Saccharomyces cerevisiae S288C: one gene and its partner. The protein of the gene in region 2 purifies or fractionates together with the protein of the main gene of each other region. This does not show direct contact. Each region holds a gene or a part of one and is shown on either strand. Other genes may lie near its edges.

Region 1 (3,629 bases), on a different chromosome or scaffold from region 2:
AAGACCAATGACAAGGGCGGCGCGAAGACTGTGATGGACCGTGTCGACATGATCACCGGCACTTTAGGTAAGTCTTTCGGTAGCGTAGGTGGCTACGTCGCAGCCTCTAGGAAATTGATCGATTGGTTCAGATCGTTTGCACCTGGTTTCATTTTCACCACGACTTTACCACCTTCAGTTATGGCAGGCGCTACCGCAGCAATTAGATACCAACGTTGCCACATCGACCTAAGAACCTCGCAACAGAAACATACCATGTACGTAAAGAAAGCTTTCCATGAGTTGGGCATTCCAGTTATTCCAAATCCTTCTCATATCGTCCCAGTGTTGATTGGTAATGCTGATTTGGCTAAGCAAGCTTCTGACATCTTAATCAATAAGCATCAAATCTACGTACAAGCTATCAACTTCCCTACGGTTGCTCGCGGTACCGAAAGATTGAGAATTACCCCAACGCCAGGTCACACCAACGATTTATCTGACATCTTAATCAATGCAGTTGATGATGTGTTCAATGAGCTACAGTTACCACGTGTCAGAGACTGGGAAAGCCAAGGTGGCTTATTGGGTGTTGGAGAGAGCGGATTTGTGGAAGAGTCTAACTTATGGACATCAAGCCAACTATCTTTAACTAATGACGACTTGAACCCTAATGTTAGAGACCCCATCGTTAAACAACTAGAGGTTTCTAGTGGTATCAAGCAGTAAAACAACCAATATATGCATGGGCTGAGATAGAGGTACAAGGAATTTGTAAATCAGTAAAAAAAAAAATTAACAGTTTTTTTTTTTCATTTTTTTTTTTTATTCTTATTTATGTATGATACTTTATTATTATTTCTCTTAATTATTTATTTATTTAACTAACACGATGAGCACTTTTAACTGCAATGGTTAAACTGTAGCAATGTTGGTAAAAAAGCAGGGAAAGTTCAAAAATAATTTATGTATTTTTCCTCGGGGGTACAGAAAGTAAAGAGAGAGAAACGTATGAGTATATATAGGCTAATGTAATATGTAGTGGTAAATAAAGAGACAAAAGTTAGCTATTCTTGTTTGAAATGAAAAAAAAAAAGCACTCAAGCGTTGTTTTTTTCCAATTCATTTTGCAAGTTTTTTGTACTTTTCTTCAATTCATTAGACAATTCATCGACGTTAAATTCTTGGGTAGTGGAAGGTTCGTGTTGTGGAACTTCTGGCATAACTTGAGCTGAAGATGTGTAAGCCTTAGACTCTGGTTCCAATGGAACATCAGCGGCCAACTTAGAAGTGCTGGCGGTTTGAGGACCGGCAGTAGAAGACACAGGAGCAGTCTTAGATTTGACCAAGTTGGAAATTGGGCCCAATTTAGATTCAACCTTGTCCAAGTATGGTTTTGTCTTTTCGCAAGCCATTTGAGAAAACTCTTGGGTCTTTTGCTTAGAAATTTCTACACCTTGAGCGACAGTAGCATCAATTTCATGCTTGTAGGAATGGTAGATAACTGGCAAAGTGAAGGTAAAAATGTCAGCAACAAAGACGATGGTCCAGATAGAGAACCAGGAGAAGAATTTGTGTAGTAGAAATAAGGCAACAGCGGTCTTGAAAGTGTGCTTAGGGACTTGAGCGAATACAGTCTTTCTTATGTGGGCTTGGAAGACTGGTAGCTGTTTCAAAGCTTCATCGATATGAGGCTTAATAAAGCCGGCGATATTTGGACATTCTTTAGGACCATACTTGGTGATTAAACCTTGTCCCAAAAAGAGCTTGGATACGAATTCAATAGATCCTGTTGTGAATAAGATAGTGTAGGCAACCTTCAAAAAGAAAGTGATCAAGTTAACTTTTTTCAAAATTAACAAGGCTAACAGAGACCCACCGAAATATTTACCGGTTTGAACAGGGTTCCTCCATAATAGCAAATCGCAATTACAGCTTTTTTGTTGTTGTTGTTGTTGGGCTTGGCTATGTTGAGCTGAGGCGGACATATTTGCGTGTGTGAATATATATTATATATATATACGCTTGCGGGTAGGAAGAAACAATTAAATATTTGGCTTGAGAGTTGAAAAGAAAGAGATCAAGAAAAGGGAATTGTTGAATAAAAATTTGAAAAATGCGAAGTTGAAGTGCCATAGAAGAGAAACAGCCCACACAGGGGAGAAGCCCACTGGAAAGGGGGCACTGACCAACTTTAAATAGGAAACAGAAGATACCACAAGCCAGCGATACAACAGCACCAAACACCGAAAAGAATAGCCAAAGCTGTCCTCTGGTGTTGGAAAAACTGGAAAAAACGCAACTGCGTTGGCTGCTACGGTGAAAAATTTTCCTATGACTTTTTTCACTGCTTGTTCGTGCGAAATTACCGCAAACCCGGTAAAATGTACACGTATCAAGTGATAAACAATTTCGTGTCAAGTGAGCAGAATGGAGCGATTTGGAAAAAAAAAATTTTTATTGTTTTTTCCCCCGGGATTTTGCTCGAGATGACTGAAATTTTGTAATCGATGAGTCTATACCAGAGGCAGCAAATATCACCAACATACACAGGTATACACAATCTCATGTCCACACACACGTACAGACACGCACATATATATATATATATATATATCCCCATAGGTATTTATATATACAAAAGAATCCTCGTGTGTTTGTGTGTGCAATAGCTAGTTTTGCGCTGCCTCTTATAGTAGACAATATCACTTTTTCAATAAAATAGAACTTGCAAGGAAACAAAATTGTATCGCTTCAAGATGCTACGATCAACCACATTTACTCGTTCGTTCCACAGTTCTAGGGCCTGGTTGAAAGGTCAGAACCTAACTGAAAAAATTGTTCAGTCGTATGCGGTCAACCTTCCCGAGGGTAAAGTTGTGCATTCTGGTGACTATGTATCGATCAAGCCGGCACACTGTATGTCCCACGATAATTCGTGGCCTGTAGCTTTGAAATTCATGGGGCTTGGCGCTACCAAGATCAAGAATCCTTCACAGATTGTGACCACTCTGGACCACGATATTCAGAACAAATCAGAGAAAAATTTGACCAAGTACAAGAACATCGAAAATTTTGCTAAGAAACACCATATAGACCACTACCCTGCCGGTAGAGGTATTGGTCATCAAATTATGATTGAGGAGGGCTATGCTTTCCCCTTGAACATGACTGTCGCATCTGACTCGCATTCAAACACCTACGGTGGTCTGGGGTCGCTGGGCACTCCAATAGTGAGAACAGACGCTGCAGCCATATGGGCCACGGGACAGACGTGGTGGCAGATCCCACCAGTGGCTCAGGTTGAGTTGAAAGGTCAATTGCCTCAGGGTGTTTCCGGAAAAGATATCATTGTCGCATTATGTGGGCTTTTCAACAATGATCAAGTTCTAAATCACGCCATTGAATTCACGGGTGACTCTTTGAATGCATTGCCTATCGATCACAGACTCACTATTGCTAACATGACCACCGAGTGGGGGGCTCTTTCTGGTTTGTTCCCCGTGGACAAAACTTTGATCGACTGGTATAAAAACCGTTTGCAAAAGCTGGGCACCAATAATCATCCAAGGATTAATCCAAAGACTATCCGCGCACTAGAAGAAAAGGCGAAGATTCCGAAAGCAGACAAGGATGCACATTATGCCAAG
Region 2 (11,368 bases):
GCGATTCTTGAGATTTTGTACCAGAGGGAATTCGCCTAGCCACATCTTCCTCCTTAATGGAAATATTGTCATTCAACGCAGCAACTGCGGATGCACCTATTCTTGCAGGAGAATTAGCTCTTCGTTGTACATTTGTAACTGTGGAGTGTGATATACCGCCGGTAGAGGATGATGCTGGAAACTTATATGGAGAGGGCTGTCGACTCATTGGAGTTGGTGACACTGTGTTCATATTTAGAGGTTTTAATGACTTCATAGAACCATTCAATCTGGGCAGATTTTCTGAAGATTGCGTGCCTTCTGTATTGTTATGTGGTTGATTGCCCCCTGCCTTCATCGGCGAAGACGCCGGTACGCCATGGTCGGTGTTGAATAGTTTATGTATTTGATTTATGGGCAGACCTGAACTGGAAGCAAGCTTAAACAACTCTATCGAACGATTCAAGTTTTCAAGTTTATAATATTGCTGCTTAGTCTTTTCTTGTTCTATTTTCAAATCCATAGCTTTCATTAAAGCATTCTCAGAAAAAGCCCATTCCGATACATTAGTACCAAATATTATATCTAACAGCGATTTGCTCTTGTTGACATTATTATGACTATTATCATTGCTTTCCTTTGGCTGGCTGTAACTGTTGAAAGTACTCATTGGTCGCCTGTGCTCACAGATGGTTGCAAGTTTTCCATGTAATGTAATTTGCTACTTATTTTCCTACTGCACGCGCAAGTTTTCTCGTTGACTGTTATTAAGAAACAAATGAACAAACAACAACTGCACTAGAAGAGCAACAAGACTAGTTTCCGCTTTCCTTCTCTTTTTCTTTTTTAAAAAAGCCAATACTGCATTTGCAGCTTACTGAAGAGGCCAAAAGAAACAAGGCTTGATGATAGTCAGTAATCTTCCTCTGGACCTCTTCGCCGAGTTCTTCGAGAAGTTCCCAATAAGGTAATCGAAACGAGAGAAAAAAAGACGAGCAAAAAATTTTCTCAATTTGCCTACTTTTAAGGGTTCGGAGAGGAAGGTTTATTTGTAAATCATGACATTATTGGGCGAAGCGTAAGTGGCTTTGAAGAAGAGGAATAGCTACTCGACCAAAACTTGAAGATACTATCATACCCAACTTGGAGCGCTCAGTGACTAGTCTGCCTTTAGTGCTGTCCTGCCTCCCGTCATGCCAAGAGCCGTACTCTCCCCTTAAGGGCTGCTATTTTTTTCCGGTAGGTGTTCGGAATCCCCTTTCGAGAAAAGTAATTAATCCGAGAATTCCTTATATTTCTTACCAGAAATAGTAAGCGAAAAGGACGTTGAACTATAGCAGATCAGCGCGTCTTCATAATCCCAGAAGGAGGCGGGAAGAACAACCCCCCCCATATAGTTTTACTGGTCTCCTTTCAATCTGTTTGTTCTGAACCTACTTTCATTCTTTTGGCAGATATATGTTGCAACACGTACATAGAGTGAGTTTACTTCTTTCAGCTTGGAGAAGCATGAGAGGTTAGGTTGATTGATGCTAAACAAAAAAATTCCGCCCTGATGGTGAAAAAAGATAACGGGGCGAGCTGGGAATTGAACCCAGGGCCTCTCGCATGCTTTGTCTTCCTGTTTAGGCAGGAAGTCGCCCAAAGCGAGAATCATACCACTAGACCACACGCCCGATTATTTCGTGTGGTTGTTGTATTACGGGCTCGAGTAATACCGGAGTGTCTTGACAATCCTAATATAAACAGTCTTAGGGAAGTAACCAGTTGTCAAAACGGTTTATCAGATTAATTCACGGAATGTTACTTATCTTATATATTATATAAAATATGAATCATACTAAGTGGTGGAAGCGCGGAATCTCGGATCTAAACTAATTGTTCAGGCATTTATACTTTGGGTAGTTCAGCTAGGGAAGGTCGGGTTTTGTCTCATGTTGTTCGTTTTGTTATAAGGTTGTTTCATATGTGTTTTATGAACGTTCAGGGTGACGTATTGTCATACTGACATATCTCATTTTGAGATACAACAGTGGTTGTGTCATGAAGTTAGTCAATACTAGCCGTCTTAACAATATTAATACCTGTCAGAAGAGCAGCTTGATTGACGGAATGTTACTTATCCCATATAATCTATATAGGATCTAAATCTGACTAAAGGGTGGAAGCATAGATCTTCGGAGCTAAACTGATTGCTCAACTATTTATACGTTTAGGTTCATCAAGGCAACCGGGGCTTTGAAAATACTTAATCTTGTTTTTTTCGCAACAACTGTTTCATACGTGTTTCATACGTCTTGTACGTTTAGGTTGATGAATCTGGTGATGCAGGGGTATTTCATTTTGAAGTGTAGTAGAGGTCTTCTAATGAAAACTCGGCAGGGCCCTAAGCTCAAACTCTACCTCATCTACGTTGACCCTTTTTACCTTCTAGATGCCATCAGTTGTTAATAGTAGTAATGGAATACGATTTGCCAATCAATCTTACAATCGCATATAATTCGTCACTGTTGAATATCTGCGACGTACACCATCTAATCACTTCGCTTAGTCGATATAACCATTTGTTTGAAAAGATGAATTGATTCTAATCTTGCCTCTCTCGGGTTATGTTATTATTATTTTTACGTTTTGGCACGTGAATCTTCAGTAATTGATTGCACGCTTGATAAACGAAAAAAACATAAACAAATAAGGTAAGACTGCATTGTAAATCCTAGGAATGAGAAAGAACAGAGAAGCTAACTGCAATTATGAATGGTGTCTGTATACAATTAAATACTAATGTTGACGGAGAAAGAGAATAAAAGACAAGAATTAACTAAATATTGAAGAAGAGTAAAATACACAATAGAAAAGAATGACTCCTTTTCCCAACACTTGTAGGAGTGTTCAAACAGTTTCTTCATCAAATACAGTTTCGATGGGTTTTTCCATCAATGATGCATGTCCGAAAACGCTGACGGCAGAAGCACCGATCAACCATAGCAAAGTTGAGATTGGCGAAGCTAAGAAACCTATTGGCACAGCAACACAAACCAGTCCGGTGTATAGTTGGTTGGTCTTGAAAGAACCAAATGGAGTTACGAGCTCCTCACCCTTTAGTTTGTTTATACCAACAATACCAGCTACGACTAGAACAATAACAAAGAGTAGCAACAAGTTTGTTAATAATGTGTAAATGCTCAAACAACCAATAATCAAACCATAGTTACTGGAAAAGTACTTCAGGTTATACGCCACTCTGGATTGAACTTCCCCAAAGTTTTGAGGTTTGGAAATTTTCTTGAAATTGAAAAATTCTTGCGGGGTGCGAAGGGTTGCTAATTTAGATTGCAAGGATTGGAACTCGCTCTTAATATTTTCCATGGAGAAGTTTTGAGTGAAACGTGAAACTTGCTATAGAAATATAGAAAAAAGGTTAACGCGTTAGTATAGTTTTTCAATGATGCAAATGTGTTTACAATTTAGAACTTACGGCTAAAGCTCCTAACTGATTCATTATTGGAGTATTTGATGTTATTTTATGCGTATTTGACGGCTGATAGTTCCAAACTCAGTGTTCAAAGCCCTGCAATATTGAATTCAATCTGAATTCTTTCGATTTGTATTTATATTCGTTGTTATTATTTATTTTTTCTTTTTGCCTCGATTGCATGTGACAAAAGTGCAAAATTCGTATCGCACGACACAGAACTCCGCCACTAATTAGAACCAGAGAAGTAGCAATGAAGGCTCATTAGTAGGTTATATTTAATTGTTTACGTATTCATGTTACGACACGTCCCTTTTCAAAGACCTAAATCTTGTTTCACAAGAGCTTTACAGATTGGATGATACGTGTCCTTGAATTTGTCGAAAGTTGCAAGTGCCAATCGACGGTCTACAGAGTTTAATAGTCTGTAACCGGGACGGACAAACTTCATTCTACCTACAGTTCCCAACCAATCGGCCAAATGCTTATATTCTTCTTGCAGCTTGGCAAAGATCTGAAATTTGAACATCTTGAAAACAACTTCCGCGTTCTGTGATTTAACAATGTTATCTTGATAGATATCTAACAGTGCCCTAGATGCCACGGGAAACTTGGCCCAGTCAAAATCTTTTGGTTTCTTGTTGGAATGGCCATTTTGTGTCAAAGTTTCCAAGAACAAAACCAATTGATTTGAATTAAAATCCTTAATGTCAATAGCGTTAAATTCAGACCGGAAATCCTCTGTGGTTTTCAAATGTTGAGCCATTTCGACCCACTTGTCAGCCAATTGATAAACATTATCAGCCAAAGCCGTAATAAAATGAGGCCTTGGTGGCATACCTGGTTTATACAGCCAAGTTTCCCAGTCAACGGAATCCAAAATTTCTTTCTTTTCGGGATAGAACTCATACAAAGTATCCAAAAACTGGAAAGTATCCAATGATTTTTTGGCAAACTTCTTGAAATAGTGTCTAATAAATGGATCAAATTCAGCCTTACCACCCAAAATAGTTTCCAAGTGAAATAGTAAGTTGAACCCCTTTTCGTACGGAACAGTGGAAAAGGCATCGTCAGGGTCAGTGTTATCGTTCAAGTTTTGTACCAAAGTGGAAAATCTTTCAGGATCTTTCATAGAATCAATAGAATTCTGCAAATCGCTCCAACCAATCAGAGCACTGAAATGTCTAGTTGGTTCGCCATGAATGGCACCAATAATTCTTCTTTCTAAGTAAACGGTCCAACCTTCATTCAACCAAAAATGATTCCACGAACAATTGGTCACTAAGTTACCAGACCATGAGTGAGCAAGTTCATGGGCGATGACATCAATGTTGGATCTGTCATGTGCAATCAAGGTGGGCGTAGCAAAAGTCATATTCGGAGACTCCATACCGCCGTAAGGGTACGAATCGACGTTAACTAAGATATCATAAGTGCCCCACTCGTATTCAAAGATAATTTTCTCTGCAGTTTGAATGAATTTCTCTACATCGTTTTCAAATTCCCATTGACAATCTTTCAAACGAAATGGTTCAGTGTAAACTGTGGAACGAGGTCCAATTGGAGCGCTTGACAAATCACCGGAAGCAATACCGATCAGGTAGGCTGGGATAGGGACTTTCTGTTCAAATCTGTAAATATTAGTATCCTTGCTTGTATCTTCAATCCTGATGCCTGAAAAAACCACTGGTAGTGGGGACTCGATAGATGCAGTGAAAGTAGACTTCACAGAGGGAGTATCAAAGCAGGGGAACAAAGACCTCGCATGAATAGCTTCCAACTGTGAAAACACGTACGGTTTACCGCCCTTGGTTTGCTTGCTGTTCAACCATTGCAAAGCGGTGCACTTGTCAGTCGTACGAAATTGAATATTCAAGGTAAAGTTATCGTTGCAAGAAGCGTTATTGATGACTAACCTGGAGCCCAATGGCTCCTTTCTTTGCTCAATTTGAAAATCTGCCTTGGAACCATCAATATGAACCTCCTGGACATCCAAATAGGATGTATCCAGATGTAATTCATCCGATTTATTTTTACCTTCGTGCAGTTTTTTCAATTGGAATGTAACGCTCCCTGAAATGGCTGACTTTTCGAAGGAAACAGACAGGTTTAAATCGGTGTGAAGAACTGCGAAGTCCTTATAATTTGATAAAGTAGACTGATCGTATTCGGGGGAGCGGGAAGGTCTTCTCTGCTCAATTGAAAGAGGCAACATTTTATGAGGGGTGGAAATGTGTATGTTTCTTGAGATTACAGTAAGTAAACCTCGAAATCGAAGCGTGGGCAGGTAAATAGAGCTGGAATGACGAATGACAAATGGAAGCAAGAACATCAATTAGAACACCAAGATAACCTAATACATAAAGCAAACTATACTAAAGTGCGTTTATATAAGTCAAACGAAAAAGTGGAAGAAAAAAAGTGACATGATTTTCCATACGCAATGCCCCCGGAAACTGAAGACGCATTGTGTCAAAAGATGAATGAAAGCCACGACGAAACAGCCGAAAATGGTGACAGGAGAGGGCCAACGAGCCCCGTGAGAAGACCTGTGTAGGGCGTACCCATGAAGGAGGCCCCTATGATTTTCCATTTGGAAACACTCAGGATGTTTTCTGATGACTGGATGATGATGTCCTTGAGGACCAGGAGACAGCCAAAAAATACAATTGAGATCGCGAGCACAACAACCAAAGGCCTTGTGTTGATGTCATAGCGAACATACCTTTCATTGATATGATGCGTAGATGGCGTTACTGACGGTGAGCTGTTGTACATAGAGTTTTTGACTCTCACGCTTTGATTATCCCTAAAATCACCCGGAATTCTGTACTGGGATTCAACCGGCACTGCCTGCTTCTGTACCCTTCTTTTATGCAGCAGCTTCCGCAGTTGGTTAGTGGTTCCGCATTTCTGTGATTTGCTTCCATCTACAGTTGAAGTTTTCCTCTTAAAGAATTGCCCAATTGACCTCTTTGATACGTGCTCCATTAATATCTTGCGCCGAAATTGTCACACTATGCTCACGTATGATTAGTGTATTTATATATGAATAATTCAAATGGCAGGCAGTTTCTTGTTCGAGCCAGCATTGGCGAAAAAAATGCCAAAAGTAGAAGTAAATACGGTAGACACTCCAGCAAGATAAAGCTGCAATATATAACACATCACGGCGATGCTTGTATATTTAGGAGCTCTTACGTCCACCAATGCTAATATATCCTCCTAATGATGGCGCTGATACTGGTAAAAACTCATAATGGTAGTAGTCATTAGCCAATACCTGCCTCTTTTTTCCGGGTCATGCCGCATTCTTTAATCAAAAGGCGATGCAACCTACTACATGAGAAGATGACCGCGCAAGCAAAGGTTTAGGAGAGCGTTATACGCTTTACCCAGCCGTCCATTGCACCATGTCTTACCAACGGAACAGTGCAAGAGCCTCTCTTGACCTCAGAAGTCAATATCAACAACTGGAAGGCAGAATGAGGTCAGAACATTTTAATCCCGCCTATCAACAGCAGCAACAAAAAGGCCAGAACATACCCCTGTCACTACCCTCGTCGCTTGCGCAACGCAATCCTATACCTTACCCTATCGACGCTGTGACTTCCGATCCCACTATCCCGGCTCAGTTGAACGTATATGATCACGATCGGCAAAATTCGATAGTCGATGCTGCGGCTGGCACCAATACGACGCACTCTTTGAACTCTAATAATATTCCATCATCACAAAATAATAATATTAATAATAACAATATCAATAATGTTGGTTCCTTCACTGACCCTTCCATGCTAACGCTGCCAAAAATGTCTTTACATAGCCACCAGAAGCAGTATGATTCTAACCAAAACGATCCTAGGTCCCCTCTGGCGATACTGATACCGACTTCTGCGCAGCCCACTGATGTCTTGTCTGCTAGGTTTTCTGCCTGGAGAAATGTTATTCGTGCCATCTTGGTATATCTCTCTGAGACCGCCTCAATACAGGACGAAATAGTTAGACAGCAACTGAGGTTGTCCCATGCTGTGCAGTTCCCCTTTTTCAGCATTGAAAACCAATATCAACCGGTCTCTAATGAAGACAAGTCCATGCAGAAATTTTTTCTGCCCTTAGGAAGTGGATCCGTTCAAGATTTGCCCACGATGCTGACCAAGTATCATGATAATCTGGCCTCTTTGGCATCGAAAAGTTCCAAGGAGTTGACCAGTGAAATTATACCCAGGCTAGAGGATTTGAGAAGAGATTTACTAGTCAAGATTAAAGAAATTAAGGCTTTGCAATCTGATTTTAAAAATTCCTGTAACAAAGAGCTTCAGCAAACTAAACACTTGATGAAGCTTTTTAATGAATCATTAAAAGAATGTAAATTAGGTACACCAAAGAGTGACCCATTTTTGATAAAATTGCAATTGGAAAAGCAAATCAAAAGACAGTTGGTGGAAGAAAATTATTTGCACGAGGCATTCGATAACTTGCAGAATTCAGGGGCCCAGTTAGAAAGTGTTATTGTAATGGAAATACAGAACGGATTGACCAGCTACGCTAGAATTCTTGGCAAAGAAGCCCAAGTTGTATTTGACTCAGTTATCTCTAAATTAGATTCCACGATACTGAACAAAAACACGAATCTTGAATGGGATAGTTTCATTCTAAGGAATATTTCCAATTTTGTGCCTCCAAATTTACCCATGAGGAGGTTTAAAGAGATCTCGTATAGCAATCAAAACGATCCTTTTACTTTTGAAGTTAAATCTGGGTTTCTGGAGAAAAGATCAAAATTTTTAAAGTCATACTCACGTGGGTTTTATGTCCTCACTCCAAGCTTTTTACATGAATTTAAGACACCAGATAAGCATAAATTTTCCACACCGTTAATGTCAATACCATTAGTGGAATGTACTGTCACTGAGCATTCCAAAAAGACGAAATCCAACTCAGAGCAGGGCAAGAACAAGTTTATATTGCGTACGAATTCTAACGGACTAATACATAGGGGTCACAACTGGGTATTCAAAGTAGACTCTTATGACGATATGATAGAATGGTTTGGAAATATCAAAGCCTTATCAAGTTTGCCCAACTATGACGACAAATGCAAATATGTGAGTAAAGTTGCCAAACTGTCTAAAGAAAAAGCCAAGAGTAATGAAAACACCACGGAGAGCGTGACCCCCCAGGTAACTAATGAGCAACATACGAGATACGATGATGTGAGTAGTAGCAATTTTCCCTTGAATTCCATTCCAAAATTAGACAATTTGACAATCACTAACACCACGTCATCGATACCGGAAACGAATGATTCACAAATTCAGAATAGGGTTCCTGAATTTTACATTGAAAATGTAGATTCCCCTAGAAAAAGCAATCAGCTGTGACAAGTAAGTTAATTATATAGTAATGCTCTAGTTTGTATGTAATATTATGTATAAGTTTTCTCATAAACAAGGCTTCTATTTTCAAAAAACATCAGCCCCTTTCCTCCTCTTCTAATAATTTACAAATAGGATTCAGTACAAAGTTTTCCCAATCTTTATCAAACTTCAAATCAGAGAATTTATACAATGAATACTGCTGGTTTCTTGCGCCCATCACCCTTAGGCAGTCATAGTCCAGTTTCGTAATTTGTAAGAAAAGGTCGGACAAATTAGGGTATCTCAGAGGATCTTTGGTTGTGTTATAATCAGGATCACTCGGCTCTTTAAAGAAAAATCCAGTAGTTTCACCATCATCTTCGAGTTTTGCAAAATATTTCTTTTGTAACTCCCATTGTGGTGGAGCTTTTCCGATATTCCCGTTGGCATCCCATGGAGTAACTATATCTAACAATGGGCCCGCCGAGGCATGAACTATGGGGATCAAACCGGAAGCCATATACTCTACAACTGCAATTCCAAAGTGCTCATTCCACATGGCATTAACACCGAAAGTAGATTTGTTTAGTAATATTTCAATCTTATCGAAGGGCAGATTTTTTTCGAATGATATCAAATGTTTAGGAATTTTTAATACATTTTCTGACCAGTCTTGTAAACTTTTAACATAATTTTCATCTTGCTTGGATCTAGTGGACCCCGCCATTATCAATTTAATTGGCGATACAGAATCCGGTAAATTTTTCAAGAAAGTTGCAAAGGACTCAATGATTAACTTATGACGTTTCTCAGGACGAAATTGTGCCAACACAATTGCTTGATTTAATCTCTCACCCTTTGCAGTACCAAACTTTTGCTTCCAATCTACTAATTTCTCAGTAGAGCATGGAGGATATATAATTTTACACGTATTGGATTGCCAAATTTGCTTTATGTGGTTATTTGTCCATGTTGAGTTTGTGATTACAATATCAATTTTAGAACCAATGGATTGATAAATTAACATAAAAACTTTCCAGTATAATATTTTACCGTAAACTTTGATACCCTTCTTGGGCATTTTGAACAGCTTATTTAACATGTCTTTTGACATTATCGGATAATGCGTATATGTGACGATAGGAATTCTCCTCAAAAACCTAGCAATAATAGGATAGCTGAAAGGGTACCCCATTGTATCAATCCATATATCAGGTGGACACTGAATAATGGATTCAAATGCGAGAATCATTGATCCAATTGCTTGTCCAATCAACGTGAAATGCTTCCATGTTGAAGAATCCACCAAGTATCTTAGCTTCAATGAAATGAAAAATATTCTATCCGAATCCAAGTCGTAATCGAACTTCGCTTTCACATTATTTAGAATATTCTCCGGAGTAACATTCTCTCCATTCACAAAATCCCCTGAATAAATGACAATAACGTTCTTAGCATCTTTTCTCAAAGTGATATCTACAGCTTTCCAGAGCACTTTTTCCCCACCACCACCAGCATTACAATACGGATGAAAAAAACCAAAAACTTTCACATTCTTCTCACCACAGGAGGCAACTGCTCTGTTCAGTAATGAAGATTTTTTGGAGAACGGATTCAAGCTGGAATACACCCATTGACGGAAGATCCACGTGAGAACCTTAATTAGTCCATACACTAGTACTAAAGATGATACAACATATTTTTTGAACCCAAAATGAGACTTAACCTCTTCAAAATTGTAGTTTGTCCAAGCACTGCCCATTTTCGCCTGCAATCACCTGAACATGTTGGTCACACTTGGATACTAACATCTATCTTCACTTCACTTACCTCTCAATCTTATTATTTATTGAACTTTTCACTTTTTGTTTAGCTTACCCGAAGGACATAGATGTAGCGATGACAACGATGAATGATACGTCAGTTAAAAGGGTCTTCGTCGAACTCTTCATCTAACCCTTCATTTGCAGTGTGCTTGGTTGATGAACCTTCTTCCATTAATGATCGACAGCTGCAGTGAATAATGTCTCATCATAAGAAGAGGGTGTACCCTCAAGCTCAGGTGCCATACATTGCAAGTATGCCAATAGTTGCAGAGCAACAGCAGTCTCAACAACAAATCGACCAAACAGCTTATGCAATGGGCAACCTACAATTGAACAATAGGGCTAACTCATTTACACAGCTAGCTCAAAATCAACAGTTTCCTGGTTCTGGGAAAGTGGTCAATCAACTATACCCTGTGGATTTGTTTACAGAATTACCTCCGCCAATCCGTGACCTGTCTTTACCACCTCTTCCAATCACCATTTCTCAGGATAACATTGTGACTCCATCCGAATATTCAAATGTTCCATACCAGTACGTCAGATCTACTTTGAAAGCGGTGCCAAAAACAAACTCTCTGCTGAAGAAAACGAAGTTACCATTTGCCATTGTTATTAGACCATATTTGCATTTGCAAGATTCAGACAACCAAGTACCGCTAAATACTGACGGAGTCATTGTCCGCTGTCGCCGTTGTCGTTCATATATGAACCCTTTTGTCGTTTTC

Evidence for each region. The genes of interacting proteins can lie anywhere in the genome.
Region 1: the proteins of YIP3 (region 2) and RTN1 purify together in Saccharomyces cerevisiae (affinity purification with western blotting; 2 studies listed by BioGRID, with this or other methods). This does not show direct contact.

The regions. Positions count from the first base shown.
Region 1 is NC_001136.10:928,391-932,019, forward strand, and holds RTN1 (Rtn1p), read right to left. Parts: upstream 1,968-3,629; coding exon 1,080-1,967; downstream 1-1,079. Other genes in the region: HEM1 (5-aminolevulinate synthase), read left to right, coding at 1-708; homoaconitate hydratase LYS4, read left to right, coding at 2,739-3,629.
Region 2 is NC_001146.8:537,381-548,748, reverse strand, and holds YIP3 (Yip3p), read right to left. Parts: upstream 3,482-11,368; coding exon 3,458-3,481; intron 3,379-3,457; coding exon 2,872-3,378; downstream 1-2,871. Other genes in the region: BOP3 (Bop3p), read right to left, coding at 1-649; YNL042W-B (uncharacterized protein), read right to left, coding at 1,379-1,636; LAP2 (bifunctional aminopeptidase/epoxide hydrolase), read right to left, coding at 3,771-5,786; YNL046W (uncharacterized protein), read right to left, coding at 5,927-6,445; SLM2 (phosphatidylinositol 4,5-bisphosphate-binding protein), read left to right, coding at 6,868-8,838; alpha-1,2-mannosyltransferase ALG11, read right to left, coding at 8,930-10,576; COPII subunit SFB2, read left to right, coding at 10,838-11,368.